Linked DNA regions of Saccharomyces cerevisiae S288C. The protein of the gene in region 1 purifies or fractionates together with the protein of each later gene. This does not show direct contact. Each region holds a gene or a part of one and is shown in the gene's direction. Other genes may lie near its edges. The genes, in order: PRP39, SNU56, SNP1 and SNU71.

What was found.
Region 2: the proteins of PRP39 (region 1) and SNU56 purify together in Saccharomyces cerevisiae (affinity purification with mass spectrometry; 5 studies listed by BioGRID). This does not show direct contact.
Region 3: the proteins of PRP39 (region 1) and SNP1 purify together in Saccharomyces cerevisiae (affinity purification with mass spectrometry; 6 studies listed by BioGRID, with this or other methods). This does not show direct contact.
Region 4: the proteins of PRP39 (region 1) and SNU71 purify together in Saccharomyces cerevisiae (affinity purification with mass spectrometry; 5 studies listed by BioGRID). This does not show direct contact.

What each region holds. Positions count from the first base shown.
Region 1 is NC_001145.3:179,503-184,170, forward strand, and holds PRP39 (Prp39p), read left to right. Parts: upstream 1-1,971; coding exon 1,972-3,861; downstream 3,862-4,668. Other genes in the region: GSF2 (Gsf2p), read left to right, coding at 1-135; pheromone-regulated K(+) transporter PRM6, read right to left, coding at 515-1,573. UniProt on the Saccharomyces cerevisiae protein: Function prior to stable branch point recognition by the U1 snRNP particle to facilitate or stabilize the U1 snRNP/5'-splice site interaction. Has a direct role in the assembly or function of a catalytically active spliceosome.
Region 2 is NC_001136.10:942,947-946,965, reverse strand, and holds SNU56 (Snu56p), read left to right. Parts: upstream 1-1,813; coding exon 1,814-3,292; downstream 3,293-4,019. Other genes in the region: AMD2 (putative amidase), read right to left, coding at 1-159; YDR239C (uncharacterized protein), read left to right, coding at 3,546-4,019. UniProt on the Saccharomyces cerevisiae protein: Component of the U1 snRNP particle, which recognizes and binds the 5'-splice site of pre-mRNA. Together with other non-snRNP factors, U1 snRNP forms the spliceosomal commitment complex, that targets pre-mRNA to the splicing pathway.
Region 3 is NC_001141.2:244,066-247,533, reverse strand, and holds SNP1 (U1 snRNP complex subunit SNP1), read left to right. Parts: upstream 1-1,974; coding exon 1,975-2,877; downstream 2,878-3,468. Other genes in the region: YIL059C (uncharacterized protein), read left to right, coding at 619-984; YIL060W (uncharacterized protein), read right to left, coding at 708-1,142; ARC15 (Arc15p), read left to right, coding at 3,072-3,468. UniProt on the Saccharomyces cerevisiae protein: Involved in nuclear mRNA splicing.
Region 4 is NC_001139.9:512,594-517,315, forward strand, and holds SNU71 (Snu71p), read left to right. Parts: upstream 1-1,960; coding exon 1,961-3,823; downstream 3,824-4,722. Other genes in the region: nicotinamide-nucleotide adenylyltransferase NMA2, read left to right, coding at 1-139; MCY1 (putative cysteine synthase), read left to right, coding at 566-1,747; MSB2 (Msb2p), read left to right, coding at 4,350-4,722. UniProt on the Saccharomyces cerevisiae protein: Component of the U1 snRNP particle, which recognizes and binds the 5'-splice site of pre-mRNA. Together with other non-snRNP factors, U1 snRNP forms the spliceosomal commitment complex, that targets pre-mRNA to the splicing pathway.

The sequences.
Region 1 (4,668 bases):
GGTATTTATGAACCAGATGAAAAACTGGCCTCGCTAGTTAAGCTCAGAAGAGAAATTGCTGATGAGAAAGAGAAAGCATCAAACAATGATGCTACTTTTGGTATAAAAAAGAATGATTTGAAAAAATCTAATTAATTGTAAAACCAAAACACTACCATCCAGACTTTTTTTTTATTCAACCATAGCCTTTAACTACTACTACTACTACTAGTACTACTACTATTACTATTACTATTACTACTACTAGAGGGCCTTTTTTTACTCCTAGTATTTTTGTACTATCCTATTTACTCTCGTTGTTTTTATTAGTTTTTTCACTCTTTTTTTCAATTCCTCACGAATCTACTGTTTTCGTAGTGCTTTTTTTTGTTTCATTGTTTATAGCCATCAATGGTTTTTGTTACTATCATTATCATTATAAATATTTCATACAATATATACAATATATATACAATAAATGAGAATCGATTTACTTTTAATGCATTTTTGCAGTCAAAAAAAGCTTCGTTTACATTTATATGTATTTATGTTTGTATTTCTGGGGGAAATATGCCTTTATGGGCGTATATACTCTTTCGTACGTTTCTACATCCGAGTAGCAGTAGTAACTCGGTATTGTGCTTTCGTCGCCATAATCAGGACTATCATAATCGAATTTTTTTTGCGTTTTGTTGTCACCACATATGGTCCCTTCTTCCTCATCATCTATCAATATTCCCAATTCGTAGACAGTTCTACTTAAATTCTCGTCAATGACTTTAGACACATACTTTCGTAGTTTCAATTCATACCCCTTAACCTTCCTTTTACTAGACAAAAATCTCGGACGTATAAAAATGATGAATATTATTATGCTTAGAATTAATTTGCTTATTAAAATTACCCATATGATAAACGAGAACAACATGAAGGACAAGATCACACTTTCTTCGTAATTTGTCTTAGCAATATGTTTTATCTTGTTTATTATTCCATTTAGGTCATCTAAATTACCTAGGCTTTGAGTACTATGGGTTCCGCTACTGGTCTCATTCGAAACTGTCAGTAAAACTGACCACAAAGTTAATCCGTTGATTATTTGCCTTGGAGAGTCACCGAACAATAGCCTCAAACATCCACTGATTTCAAAATATGAAAAGAATAACCACTTACTGAATTTTTTCTCATCAGTCAGCACTATTAGTTCGAAAATTTGATACTTTTTGAAATTGAACAAGCAATTTATTAATCTGCTAATGCCATTCATGTAGTTCGATGTAATCTCTTTCTTCCTATACACTCTCAATCCAATTACCAACTCCCAAATTAATATTAATGAGGAGCATAATATGCATCCGCTAAACAACCATTTTGAAATACGGAATTCCAAGAATGGTTGGATGATATTGTTCGACCATGTGTTAAATGCCAGTAATTTAATACACGTGTATATATCAGAAAAAAACATGGCCACATGTAGTATCGACTGACACCAGGTGTATAGAATATACTGTAATTTTGTGGTCCACTTCGCAGTAGGAATAAGATTTATGTCAATATCCTGGAATTTCAATTTTTGTAAACTTGATTCCATTATTTAGCGCTTTGTTGTCATTTTCCTTTCCCTCTTAGACAATGTGGTAAAAAATGCCAGCTCCAGGGCTTTCAATTAATCCATTATTGATTTTTAATCTGGAGGTTTGAGCATGGCTGAATAATTTATATACAAATATCTTTTTTTATTGTTTCAGATCATTCGTTTTCAGTATGATTTACTATCATTCATTTTCTTTTTCTTTACCATTTTACGTCGCCGTCGCACATCTTAAAACAAATTTAATACAGAGTTGAAAGTTTCAGACTTAAACAGAATTTACGCAAGAAAGTTTTCAAAGTCCTAAAGTAAAAACGCGCCTTCCACAGCCATTTCTTTGTTCAACAAAAAGTTTTGGCCCTTACTGCTATTGGATACTTGGCAATCCGTCTTTCGTTATGCCAGATGAAACAAATTTTACAATAGAAGATATTGAGCCTAGGCCTGATGCCCTTCGAGGTTTGGACACCCAGTTCCTTCAAGACAACACAGCATTAGTACAAGCATATCGTGGTTTAGACTGGTCAGATATTTCTTCGTTGACCCAAATGGTAGATGTTATAGAGCAAACAGTGGTTAAATATGGCAATCCAAATGATTCAATCAAATTGGCCTTGGAAACTATTTTATGGCAAATATTGCGTAAGTACCCTTTATTGTTTGGATTTTGGAAGAGGTTTGCTACTATTGAGTACCAGTTATTTGGTCTCAAGAAATCGATTGCTGTTCTGGCCACCTCGGTCAAATGGTTCCCAACTTCTCTGGAGTTATGGTGTGATTATTTGAATGTGTTGTGTGTTAATAACCCGAACGAAACGGATTTTATTAGGAATAATTTTGAAATTGCAAAGGATCTTATTGGCAAGCAGTTTCTATCACACCCTTTTTGGGACAAGTTTATAGAATTTGAAGTTGGGCAGAAGAATTGGCATAACGTTCAAAGAATATACGAGTACATTATTGAAGTTCCTCTACATCAGTATGCGCGGTTTTTCACATCTTACAAGAAGTTTTTAAATGAAAAAAATTTGAAGACAACAAGGAATATTGATATAGTTTTACGAAAAACACAAACAACAGTAAATGAAATTTGGCAGTTCGAATCGAAAATCAAACAGCCCTTCTTCAACCTGGGCCAAGTGTTAAATGATGATTTGGAAAATTGGTCGCGATATTTAAAATTTGTGACGGATCCTTCAAAATCCTTGGATAAAGAATTCGTAATGTCCGTTTTTGACAGATGTTTGATTCCTTGTCTTTACCATGAAAATACGTGGATGATGTATATTAAGTGGCTAACAAAGAAAAATATATCCGATGAAGTGGTAGTGGATATATACCAAAAAGCCAATACGTTCTTACCACTGGATTTCAAAACTTTGAGGTATGATTTTCTTAGGTTTTTGAAAAGAAAATATCGGTCAAATAATACCTTATTCAATAACATATTCAATGAGACAGTATCGCGTTATTTAAAGATTTGGCCCAACGACATATTACTTATGACGGAGTACCTTTGTATGTTGAAAAGACATTCTTTTAAGAATTCCTTAGATCAATCGCCAAAGGAAATTCTAGAGAAACAAACATCGTTTACTAAAATCCTAGAGACATCAATCACCAACTACATCAATAATCAAATTGATGCCAAGGTGCATTTACAGACCTTAATAAATGATAAAAACTTAAGCATAGTCGTGGTAGAATTGATAAAAACTACATGGCTTGTACTTAAAAATAATATGCAAACAAGGAAATATTTCAACCTTTATCAAAAAAACATCCTCATTAAAAATTCTGTACCGTTCTGGTTAACTTACTACAAATTTGAAAAGAGTAATGTAAATTTTACCAAGCTGAATAAATTCATTAGGGAGCTTGGGGTAGAAATATACTTGCCGACTACAGTAATGAATGATATTTTGACGGATTATAAGACTTTCTATTTAACTCATTCAAATATCGTCACGTATGAATCCTCCATTATAGATTCAAATACATTTGACCCTATCTTGTACCCTGAGCTGAAAATGTCGAATCCAAAATACGATCCAGTATTAAATACTACAGCAAATGTAGATTGGCATAAAAAGACGGAATGGAAGGAGGCTGGTCACATCGGCATAACGACAGAAAGACCGCAGATATCCAACAGTATAATTGAGTGCAATTCAGGAACTTTGATTCAAAAGCCCATCAGTTTGCCTAATTTTAGAAACTTGGAGAAAATTAATCAGGTCAAGATTAATGATCTATACACTGAAGAATTTCTTAAGGAAGGTAAATGAAATTAATCATAAATCATAAATTATATTTAAAATAATAATTTACTCGGCCGGACCCCGAAGGAGTACCCAAATATTTACTTGTTTATAATTTATTATTGAAAATGTTTTATTCTATATTGGTAGAGTTAATAAATAATTATATAATAAATTATTGTATGATAATATAAATAATAGTTTATGTAATATTTTAAGTTATTATTTATAATAAAAAAGTAACTATTGAACCTGTTAAATTAAAATATATTCAAAAAACATTAGAGGTTGGTAAGATTCTATTAAATCGCAGAAATCAAATAATATGAAGAGTAAAACAGGTAGATGAAATAAATTTATTATTAATTTAGTTTACGTAAATCGAAATGACAGGCCTTTTCTGTGTTTTTTGATGGTTATATAATCAGAAAAATTTGATAAATATTGTTTATATGTAAAGACTATTAATGATTGTTTCTATCGTCAGGATATTTTGAAAACGTCCAAATATGTAAAACAACTTCTAAACATTAAATATTTTTGGTGAATTAAAAAAAAATATGCGCAAGCCCGGAATCGAACCGGGGGCCCAACGATGGCAACGTTGGATTTTACCACTAAACCACTTGCGCGATCTTTATTGGTATTTGTTGGAACATAGAGTTAACTAACCATATATAACAACTTCTTAAATGCACAGTACAGTCTATTCAAAACTGTAGCTATGCGCTGCATCTTGTGGCAAACTCGAATGGAATTGTGGGTTTGCTAGGTCTCTGTCCATCTGTAAACAATATTTCCCGGGAACGGGCAACAAAGGTAATGTTTATATGT
Region 2 (4,019 bases), on another chromosome or scaffold:
AGATGAGCATAAATCATCGATATTCTTGATTAAATTTTTTTTATCGTTCTTCAACCTCGTTATAGTTGTGCTGTTTAATTTCCATTCGTCTTTTATCTTACTGTTCAGTTGATCTTTTTTTAATTGAACTTTTTCCTTCCACGTTGAGTGCACAGTCATTGTATAACTTTGGTACCGTGTTGTCTGTCGTTAATAACAGGTCAGAGCGGCTGTCCCTTCCACTCCCCATTGAAAAAAAAGTATTTACTCGACTATATATATGTAATACGCTTTTGAATACTAAAATAATGTTATCAGTAATCTTATCTATTATTATCATATTATCATATTATTAGCTATTATTATATCATGAGCAATTCGCGCGCGCGGCATTTGAGATAGCAAACTTAATCCGTCACACAGATAATACTACAAATTATGACACATAATACTCCCGGTACTCAATAATATCTCATTGTTCGGTCACGAATGTGTCATTGACTATCCAATAGAGAATCAAATACAACGACTACTGGGAACTTATCTCCAGAAAGCCGGCTAAAAGTAGGTGCTTGACATAAAAAAATCTCCCGGGGGCGAGTCGAACGCCCGATCTCAAGATTTCGTAGTGATAAATTACAGTCTTGCGCCTTAAACCAACTTGGCTACCGAGAGTCGATTTCTTGCGAGGTGTTGTATCTCAAAATGAGATACGTCAGTATGACAATACGTCATCCTAAACGTTCATAAAACACATATGAAACAACCTTATAACAAAACGAACAACATGAGACAAAACCCGTCCTTCCCTAGCTGAACTACCCAAAAGTATAAATGCCTGAACAATTAGTTTAGATCCGAGATTCCGCGCTTCCACCACTTAGTATGATTCATATTTTATATAATATATAAGATAAGTAACATTCCGTGAATTAATCTGATAAACTGTTTTGACAACTGGTTACTTCCCTAAGACTGTTTATATTAGGATTGTCAAAACACTCCGGTATTACTCGAGCCCGTAATACAACACGAGGGCTTGAAATATGTTTCTTATAATTAATATCAAACTTGTTTGGAGGTTCCTATGACAGCGCCTCATAACTCGTGTCATCTTTGTACTTGTTAGAGATTGTTGGGACAGATGAACATTAACTTTTCATAAGATATTACAATAGCAATATAAATACTTAAATGGTATACTATAGTTCTAATGGAATTCTAGCATCATCTATTTAGTAGTATTTATATTATTAGTATATTATCGCATACGGTATAAGAAGATGTAGTTTACTTGCTTCAAACCAGTGACCTGAGAAAGGGGTGAATAATTTGATGATTGTTGGGATTCAATCCTTGGTAAAGGTATAATATTATGAATGAATAATGTACTAGAAGCTCTCCCCGAGATATAAGAACCCGCAAAAGAGGATCGGTATTCTTACGTAATAATATTATAATCTCATCTTCCATTTTTTATGTGACATTATCCTATTACATCATGAGTTGTTGCATTTCCTCTTCCATTTGATGACTGTCTTTCAATCTTTATGTCATCTTCTTACACCGCATTTGATAATATACTACTAACACGAATGCTAATAAACAGATGATATTTTGGATTTTTACTCCAACATGATCTTTAATTACTTCTTCATATTTCTTATTCTCATGATTGCTACTGGTTTGTTGTAACCTTTTTTTTATTTGAGCTAGAATTTTCAGCGCGCATCGCAGTGTAGAAAACATTAAAGTTATATTATATACTATAGTAGAAGTTTGACGTTGAGAAACAGTTTCCCTTCGACTAATATAAGCAAAAAATATTAGTATCATGCGCCCAAGAAGGAGAGGATTAGCGTATCATCATACCAAGCCGAAGGGACAACTTTCACAAGGACATTATCCTACGACATCCAATGATGGCCAAAGAAGGAAGGTCGGTAATTCTGAAGCATTCCAATCTTTTGATATATGGAAAAACCTAGATAGGATAAGGTCGACTAAGAAGAATGCAGGGCAATTCATAAAAGGTAGTCTGCTCATACTCCCCATGAGAACGGAAGATAAACAACAGTTCGACGAGTGCATGGATGAATTGCATAAGTATATATCGAAGGATATATTACGATGTTATCCACAGAAAGAGCAGAAAGATGAAGGCATGCTTTTCTACATAGTTTTGAAGGACTTCAATATATTGGACTCTTGCTTCGTATTATCAGTTCTGCTTGCTTTCCAGAAGCGATTATGGATGGCACCATCCGAAAAATCATACTTTAGAGTTCCTAAGAATATTAACTTGACAGGTTCGTTTTATTTGCCCAAGAATATAGAAACTGGTAGAGGCCATATAATAACAAGCTATAGAAGAGAGCAGCCCTCATCCAGTATTGTAGAAGTTGGTTTCAATGTTGTTCCAGATTTTCAACAGTTTCAAGTTAAGGCTTGTCATGTAAGTAAGTTCATGAATGAGCTTTCTAATTTTTTTTCACAAGTAGAATTTGGCAAGTGTGAAGCTAACGTGATAAACTACTTTAAGCGTGAATATAACCGCACTTATTCACAGATATCACTTGCCCTCTACGAACTTCCATTAATTGGCGATGGCTTGTTTGATATAAAGTCGTACATTAGTAAAACCAGGCCAATTATAGAAACATCAAAAGCTCAAATGATTAAACATATTTCTGAAATGAAGGCATATAACGAAATAAGTGGCCTTCAAGGAGATCAATTTCCACGACAACAAAGACCTTTATCGAATTCGCCCTCTTCAAATTCAATTTCCTCTTCTCAAACTATTGAAGCAGGTGCAACTTCATATCAAACACAACCACAGAGACACGCTGTTAATAAGCCATCAAATGTATTGAATTCTTCCAATCGTCATTCCGGGCCAAAAACTTTTGAGGACGGAAGGTATAGTGAAGGTAATAAACCGGGTTTTATGACGCAGGATGAAATCAAACAACATTGCATTGGTACCATAAAAGCTTCTATGGATGCAGTGAAAAAGAAGTCTTCGTATCAGATTCTAAAGACATACGTTAGGTGTCCAAGACAAAATTATATTGATATTGTTTATCAAAATCTAAATGATCTACGATCAAAGACAAATTGTAATATCGTCGTATTGAATCTGAATAATCTTCACGAGTCACAAATGTGGCTTGAATCTTTAAATACAACAAATTACACTATTTTTGCTCAGGCGCCTCACCCAAGTACCATCCGCGTTATTAGTATTGGTGGAGTCGGTGAATATATAGTCAAAGCATTAGAGCTGATATTGAATATATTAGAACATTGAGTCGCATATAACAGTGGAGGTGTATAGATATATTTAAAAAACCTTTTGGTTATTTTTTCTCTTTCATGGCATTTGCTCCGTATGCAAAGCGATAGTTTAATTTAATGTTTTCTTTCAAATGTCATCGCGGATTCAAAGAGCGCACTATTATTATTTGGCAAAAGTTTAAGAGGGAAAATGTTGAAATAGCATGTTCTGCAAAGCGAATTACAGGTTTTGAAGGAGTCTACAGGTAAAGTCTAATAATACAGTGATGTTTGATGGCTTTAGCAACAATAAAGGTAAACGAAGGTCTTTTTTTCGGTTTGGTTCTGAAAGTAAAAACAATGACTCTGAAAAATCCGTTAGAAAGCCATCGGTGCCCTCTACAATAAAGAAATCAACAAATATCGCACGAACTTCGACGGCTGAAACTTCTGCCCCTGATATACCGCCAAGAAGTCCAAATAGGAATGCTCATAGCAGGAGCCATTCTATCCAGGCACCATTACAAAAGGAAACATTAAAGAATACTAATCCATTTTTGAATGCTGAGGATACCTTAGGAGATTCTCTTGAATTAACACAGTCCAAGGAAGCGTCAGGAAACGATCACAAAGGAATTGAATATTTACAAGAAAACAACATCATTGGGCAGAGAACCAACCCCTTCACAACAAGCGCAAATTCAAATGCACATTTCTCCAAGATAAAACGTTCGAGGCCTCCACCACCGCCTATGGACATG
Region 3 (3,468 bases), on another chromosome or scaffold:
AACACATTGAAAAAAAAGAAAACGAAAAGATGGCACACGGCTTGGTCATCGAGTGAAGAAATGAAACTTCAAAAAAATTGCCGGACACTTAAACCTTAACGAGTTATACAGAACCGTATCCAGACCTGGAGCTGGGCTATAAGAAGAAGCGACAATATGGTATACTAAATTTCTGGACTCGTAGTCACTCAGTCTGTTTGTCAGTAAGTCACGTAGACCTGTATCGGCAGTAACTATGGTATTTTTTCCAGATTAATTATTATACGATGTTGTTACTTCGATAAGGTCACAACAGGTTTTCCATTGTTGAGAAACTGACTTTGATTATTATTTAGTTAGTAGGCAACTGTCATGTTGCAACCACAACAAGCAACAATCCTTTCACCATGACTATTATAAGCGGCCGGCAAAATTGCCGGGAAAACTGCCAGGGATATAATGCAACCTTCATTTGAGCACTTAAAATAGAAGATAACGTTGGTAAACCCCCCTTGATAGTGGACACATCCTACGTAGATCTCTCTACAGCCAAGTCGTATATATAGCAGCAAATTGCAACCAACCACATGGGACATAGGAATGAGTGGTTTTCTCAGACCCTGAACGTGACCGTCCATCATGAATTTCTCCACAGTTTTTCAAGCAATAATCGCGGTTTTAGGTTTAACTACAGTCACAGCTTTAGCAGAATTTGATTTCGACGTAGGCTATGAAGAGTTTGTCCGTACCAATCCTGATACGATTTTCTTAGAGAGTGATATTGGCCTGCACGTTGGATATACCGAGGGTGGCGAACGACAGATAGCAACGATACCACACAATTCCACGCTAGGGACTTCACTACGTGAGTATAGTGGCTGTGGTGGTAATGGTACAGAAACCTCCATCGCTACCCCCGCACCTACAATGAGTGAGGTACCTATCGCTACCTTCGTGAAACGTAGAAAAAGTGTACCTATCTTGCTACCGCAGGTATGTATGTGAAGAGTTGGTGAATTTTGAGATAATTGTTGGGATTCCATTTTTAATAAGGCAATAATATTAGGTATGTAGAATGTACTAGAAGTTCTCCTCGAGGATTTAGGAATCCATAAAAGGGAATCTGCAATTCTACACAATTCTATAAATATTATTATCATCATTTTATATGTTAATATTCATTGATCCTATTACATTATCAATCCTTGCGTTTCAGCTTCCACTAATTTAGATGACTATTTCTCATCATTTGCGTCATCTTCTAACACCGTATATGATAATATACTAGTAACGTAAATACTAGTTAGTAGATGATAGTTGATTTTTATTCCAACAGTATGGGAGGTATATGAACCCCTACAACCACTCATTTAGAAGTGGGGGACTGTAGTTCTTTTATGAAGTAACGAAATTTTATGAAGTAACAACAAATGTTGTTAATTGTAATCTTAATAATCTAACATTTAATAAATCTTGACCTTAGACTTTTTTGTCTATTCATAATATGCTGATATTACTTTTCTTAAATATAAATATAATCTATATAATATTATTAACGAAATGTAGGAAGCTAAAAAAAAAAAAAAAAAAAAGAAAGAGACTTTTATGCGTATATTTAGGTACCCCGGTACTTACTTCTGTATATATAAATCAGTGAATCAATACATATTTTTTTTTAATGTTTTGTCCTTATAACGCGACTTATTCAAAAGAAAAAAAGAAGTCCCATGCAAAAATCTTGTCATTATTGCGAATGGATATATCAGTGAGACCTTTTTAAGGTTGTAGGGAAAAGGAAGTACGCTTCATTACAATTTCGTTCATGTCTTGCTCGCCTACTTGTTTTGCTCATAAATCCCATCAGCACCATTGTATGCGCCCTTCGTAGGAAATTAACGCATCTGAAGAAAAAAAGAACTGCAAGATAATGACACACAGCACGGTCATCGACTGTCGAAAGGAAACCTTAAAAAAGTAATCGGCACCTCAACCTTGATGAATTATAATCTATCCAAGTATCCAGACGACGTGTCGAGACTTTTCAAGCCAAGGCCACCTTTATCTTACAAAAGACCAACCGATTACCCATATGCGAAGAGACAAACAAATCCAAATATCACTGGCGTTGCAAACTTACTATCAACCTCTTTGAAGCACTATATGGAGGAGTTTCCTGAAGGATCTCCAAACAACCATCTCCAAAGATACGAAGACATCAAACTTTCCAAGATCAAAAATGCTCAATTGTTAGACCGGAGACTACAAAATTGGAATCCTAACGTTGACCCTCATATCAAGGACACAGATCCCTACAGAACGATATTTATTGGGAGGCTACCATACGATCTTGACGAAATTGAACTGCAAAAGTATTTTGTTAAGTTTGGCGAGATCGAAAAAATTAGGATAGTCAAGGACAAGATAACCCAGAAGAGTAAAGGCTACGCCTTCATAGTTTTCAAAGACCCAATAAGTAGTAAAATGGCATTCAAGGAGATTGGAGTACACAGAGGTATCCAAATCAAAGACAGAATCTGCATAGTCGACATAGAAAGAGGCAGAACCGTTAAATATTTCAAGCCAAGAAGATTGGGCGGCGGCCTAGGAGGCAGAGGCTATTCCAACAGAGACAGCAGGCTTCCAGGAAGGTTTGCAAGCGCAAGTACATCAAATCCCGCCGAAAGAAATTATGCTCCCAGGCTGCCACGCAGGGAAACTTCTTCCTCCGCATATAGCGCTGATAGATACGGCAGTTCCACATTGGACGCGAGGTACCGTGGAAACAGGCCATTGCTCTCCGCCGCCACTCCTACTGCTGCTGTTACTTCTGTATATAAATCTAGAAACTCACGGACTCGAGAGTCTCAACCAGCTCCCAAAGAAGCGCCCGACTATTGAATATAAGTAATACTTAAACTCTGCTACTTGTTGTCTATGATTACCCGCACATCAGTTAATTTGGATACTTTTTTCCCTTTCTCAGACTTTGCCCCTATAACAAAATAAGAGAAAAACAGCCCGCATTTAACACAAGATACTATAGCAAAGGAGACCAGAGAAGACTCAACACAACACACGCGAACGATCAAGCAATGGAAGCCGATTGGAGGAGAATTGACATCGATGCATTTGATCCAGAGAGTGGCAGACTAACCGCTGCCGATCTGGTACCACCATACGAAACTACTGTCACATTACAAGAATTACAACCTCGAATGAATCAATTGCGCTCGCTTGCCACAAGTGGTGACTCTTTGGGAGCCGTTCAATTACTCACAACCGATCCTCCATACAGTGCAGATGCTCCAACAAAGGAGCAATATTTTAAGAGCGTCCTTGAAGCATTGACACAAGTCAGGCAAGCCGATATTGGTAATGTAATCAAAAATTTGAGTGATTCTCAGAGGGACGTGCTGGTAAAGTATCTCTACAAAGGAATGTCCGTACCTCAGGGCCAGAAACAAGGGGGTGTCTTGCTTGCGTGGCTGG
Region 4 (4,722 bases), on another chromosome or scaffold:
GAAAGTGCGGCTTTTCATCAGACGTGGAATGTCAGTTCAATATCTTCTTCCAAACTCTGTCATCCGTTACATCCAAGAGTATAATCTATACATTAATCAAAGTGAACCGGTCAAGCAGGTCTTGGATAGCAAAGAGTGAGTTTATTACAACTCTGATACTGCAGCAGTTCAAATTTACCACTTTCCTCTTCAAGGTGCATAGAAAAAAAGTTCCTGGATGCACGATTTAAAATGTTTACAGCAGAGCAACAATCATGTGAACAATGTCAAACATTTATTTTAACACTTAATAATTATAATATAACCACACCAGCGGTAAGTTTCATAAGGAAAACCTTTCAGACAAACATTCCAGTGAATCGTATACGTAAATCAGCAAAATTAGCTTATAAAATACAGAATCCGAAGATACTTGATCTACTCGCGTTACTATTAATGCGGGTAATGATCTATATTGAATTTTGCACGTCTATAGTAACTTAAAAGTCTTGTAATATTTGAAGTAACAATGCCGTATAATACTGCATAATAGCCCTATCAATCGGAATATACCAAAACATCCTTTATGTCCTGTTCTCAAAATAAGACTTCTGTCAGTCTGGCCTGGCGTGAATGCATATCCATCGCTTCCGTCCTAATTGGCGCGTATGCATCATACAAATACTATAAGCTGTTCAAAACACGCGATATTCCACGTCCAAAAGAAGGCGTTGAAGAACTCATAGGAAACACTCCTCTGGTTAAGATCAGATCTCTTACCAAGGCTACTGGAGTTAACATTTACGCTAAGTTGGAGTTATGCAACCCAGCAGGAAGTGCTAAGGATAGAGTGGCTTTAAACATCATAAAGACGGCTGAGGAATTAGGCGAGCTCGTCAGAGGTGAACCTGGCTGGGTATTTGAAGGAACAAGTGGGTCGACTGGTATCTCTATAGCAGTGGTCTGTAATGCGTTGGGTTATAGGGCACACATTTCTTTGCCCGATGACACATCGCTAGAAAAATTGGCATTACTAGAAAGCCTCGGTGCTACTGTTAATAAGGTTAAGCCCGCTAGTATTGTCGATCCAAACCAATACGTAAATGCCGCCAAAAAGGCATGTAATGAACTAAAGAAGAGTGGTAATGGAATAAGAGCAGTTTTTGCCGATCAGTTCGAAAACGAAGCCAACTGGAAAGTACATTACCAGACCACAGGCCCAGAAATTGCCCATCAAACTAAGGGAAATATTGACGCATTCATTGCTGGCTGCGGTACTGGTGGCACCATAACTGGTGTGGCAAAATTCTTAAAGGAAAGAGCAAAGATACCTTGCCATGTCGTTCTAGCGGATCCACAAGGATCTGGCTTTTATAATAGAGTCAACTATGGCGTGATGTATGACTATGTAGAGAAGGAAGGTACTAGAAGAAGGCATCAAGTTGACACTATCGTAGAAGGGATTGGGTTAAACAGAATCACTCATAATTTTCATATGGGCGAAAAGTTTATTGATGAATCAATACGAGTCAACGATAATCAAGCCATTAGAATGGCAAAATACCTATCGGTAAACGACGGGCTATTCGTGGGGAGTAGTACAGCTATTAATGCGGTAGCCGCTATTCAGGTTGCAAAAACGCTTCCTCACGGCTCAAACATTGTGATTATTGCATGCGACAGCGGTTCAAGACACCTAAGTAAATTCTGGAAAGAAGCTAAAGAAATCGATCACGACGTGTCATTAGAAGAAGTAATAAATATCTAACATAGATGTATAAATCAGTACTGAGTTATCTTCTATTAAATTGTAGGAACAAATATAAAAAAGCAGTTTTCGCTGCTACATTTTTTGCTACTTTCCGTGGTAATGATGCCCGCTAAAAAGTGCAAAAGTAATTAGATAGATCAAGAACAAAAACAGACCAGGACCAAAATCAAGCTCATAAAAGTTCCTTAAGAGTACGTCGATTTACAGAACATGAGGGATATTGTATTTGTATCACCGCAGCTGTATTTGTCATCACAGGAGGGTTGGAAAAGTGATTCTGCCAAAAGTGGGTTCATCCCTATCCTCAAAAATGATCTACAACGTTTTCAGGACTCATTAAAACATATAGTTGACGCCAGAAACAGCTTATCAGAGACACTGCTAAATAGCAACGATGATGGGAGTATACACAATTCTGACCAGAATACTGGTTTGAATAAAGACAAAGAGGCTTCAATAGCAGATAACAATAGTGCTAACAAGTGCGCCACAAGCTCTTCCCGTTACCAAGAGCTCAAACAATTTCTTCCCATTTCCTTAGACCAACAGATTCATACAGTATCTTTACAAGGTGTCTCTTCATCATTTTCTCGCGGACAGATAGAATCATTGCTAGACCACTGTTTGAATTTAGCGTTGACTGAAACTCAAAGCAATTCCGCATTGAAAGTAGAAGCTTGGTCTTCTTTTTCTTCGTTTTTAGATACCCAGGACATTTTTATAAGATTCAGTAAGGTTGATGAAGATGAGGCATTTGTTAATACGCTGAACTACTGCAAAGCCTTATTCGCGTTTATTAGAAAGCTACATGAGGATTTCAAGATTGAGTTACACTTGGATTTGAACACAAAAGAATATGTCGAAGACCGAACAGGAACTATACCGAGTGTTAAGCCAGAAAAGGCTAGCGAATTTTATTCTGTTTTCAAAAACATTGAAGATCAAACAGACGAAAGAAATTCAAAGAAAGAACAGTTGGATGACTCTTCCACACAATACAAAGTGGATACAAACACTTTAAGTGATTTGCCATCGGATGCTTTGGACCAATTGTGCAAGGATATAATAGAATTTAGGACAAAAGTTGTCAGTATAGAGAAAGAAAAAAAAATGAAAAGTACGTACGAGGAAAGTAGGCGTCAAAGACACCAAATGCAAAAAGTTTTTGATCAAATAAGGAAAAACCACTCAGGAGCCAAAGGGAGCGCCAATACAGAGGAGGAGGATACTAATATGGAAGATGAAGATGAGGAGGATGACACTGAAGACGACCTTGCCTTAGAGAAGAGAAAAGAAGAAAGAGACCTGGAAGAATCAAATCGTAGATATGAGGATATGTTACACCAATTACATTCCAATACAGAGCCTAAGATAAAATCCATTAGGGCTGATATCATGAGTGCTGAAAACTATGAGGAACATTTGGAGAAAAATCGCTCATTATATTTGAAGGAGCTATTACACCTTGCCAACGACGTTCATTACGACCACCATAGATCTTTCAAGGAGCAAGAGGAAAGAAGGGACGAAGAGGATAGAGCTAAAAATGGAAATGCAAAGGAACTGGCGCCTATACAACTATCGGATGGTAAGGCCATATCTGCAGGGAAGGCTGCCGCCATCACCCTTCCTGAAGGCACTGTGAAGAGCGAGAACTATAACGCGGACAAGAATGTGTCTGAGAGCTCAGAACACGTCAAGATCAAATTCGACTTTAAGAAGGCTATTGATCACTCAGTTGAAAGCTCTAGCGAAGACGAGGGATACAGAGAGAGCGAGCTACCTCCAACAAAACCCTCCGAGAGAAGCGCGGCAGAGGACCGTTTGCCATTTACAGCAGATGAACTGAACATAAGACTAACTAATCTGAAGGAATCGCGCTACGTGGACGAACTGGTGCGTGAATTCCTCGGCGTCTACGAGGACGAGCTGGTGGAATACATTCTTGAGAACATCCGCGTGAACCAGAGCAAACAGGCCCTTTTAAATGAGCTAAGGGAGACTTTCGACGAGGACGGGGAAACGATAGCTGATAGACTGTGGAGTCGTAAAGAATTTCGCTTGGGGACCTGAAACAGAAGGGCCTTGGCGCGCGTCCCAAAAGGGAAAGGCTCGCTCTGAAACAGGCGAAGACACGAAAACAAATTACCGTTTCGGGGCGTTTTGCAGCAAGTGGCTAGACACGTCGGGCGTTGCCAGATCAAAATAGCACCAGTGGGTGTTTTTTTACTATCTCATCTTCGTGCTGATATATATAACTTTTATACATTTCCATAGTACCAAGTTCTTTATTTCCTGCATTTTTACATTTATAATAGATTACCAAAACTATTCGACCTCACCAAGGGACCCCATAATATTGCTAAAATAATCTTACCTGTTTTTTACCATTTTTTTCTTTTTTTCCAGAAGTAATAAGCTCTCTCTTAGAAGAACTAAAAGCATCTGACTTCGGCTCGTTCCAACCGACCAAAATATTTGTGAAAATATTATTCATTCCTTTAACGACTTATTGTGTATTCTGTTCATCTCTAGCTGGCTTCCACCTCGTTTCCTATTTTTATTGACTTTTCATTAGGCTTCCTAATTATACCCATCTATGCAGTTTCCATTCGCTTGTCTCCTATCGACCCTTGTAATTAGTGGGTCATTGGCCCGGGCCAGCCCCTTCGACTTTATATTCGGCAATGGAACGCAACAAGCTCAGAGCCAAAGCGAGAGTCAAGGTCAAGTTTCTTTCACCAATGAAGCTTCTCAGGATAGTTCCACCACCTCTTTGGTAACAGCCTATTCTCAAGGTGTTCATTCGCACCAGTCTGCAACAATAGTGAGTGCCACAATCTCTTCCCTCCCATCTACTTGGTATGATGCGAGCTCCACTTCCCAGACTTCTGTGTCATATGCCAGTCAAGAATCCGACTATGCCGTTAATCAAAACTCTTGGAGCGCGTCTACTAATCAACTGCCATCTA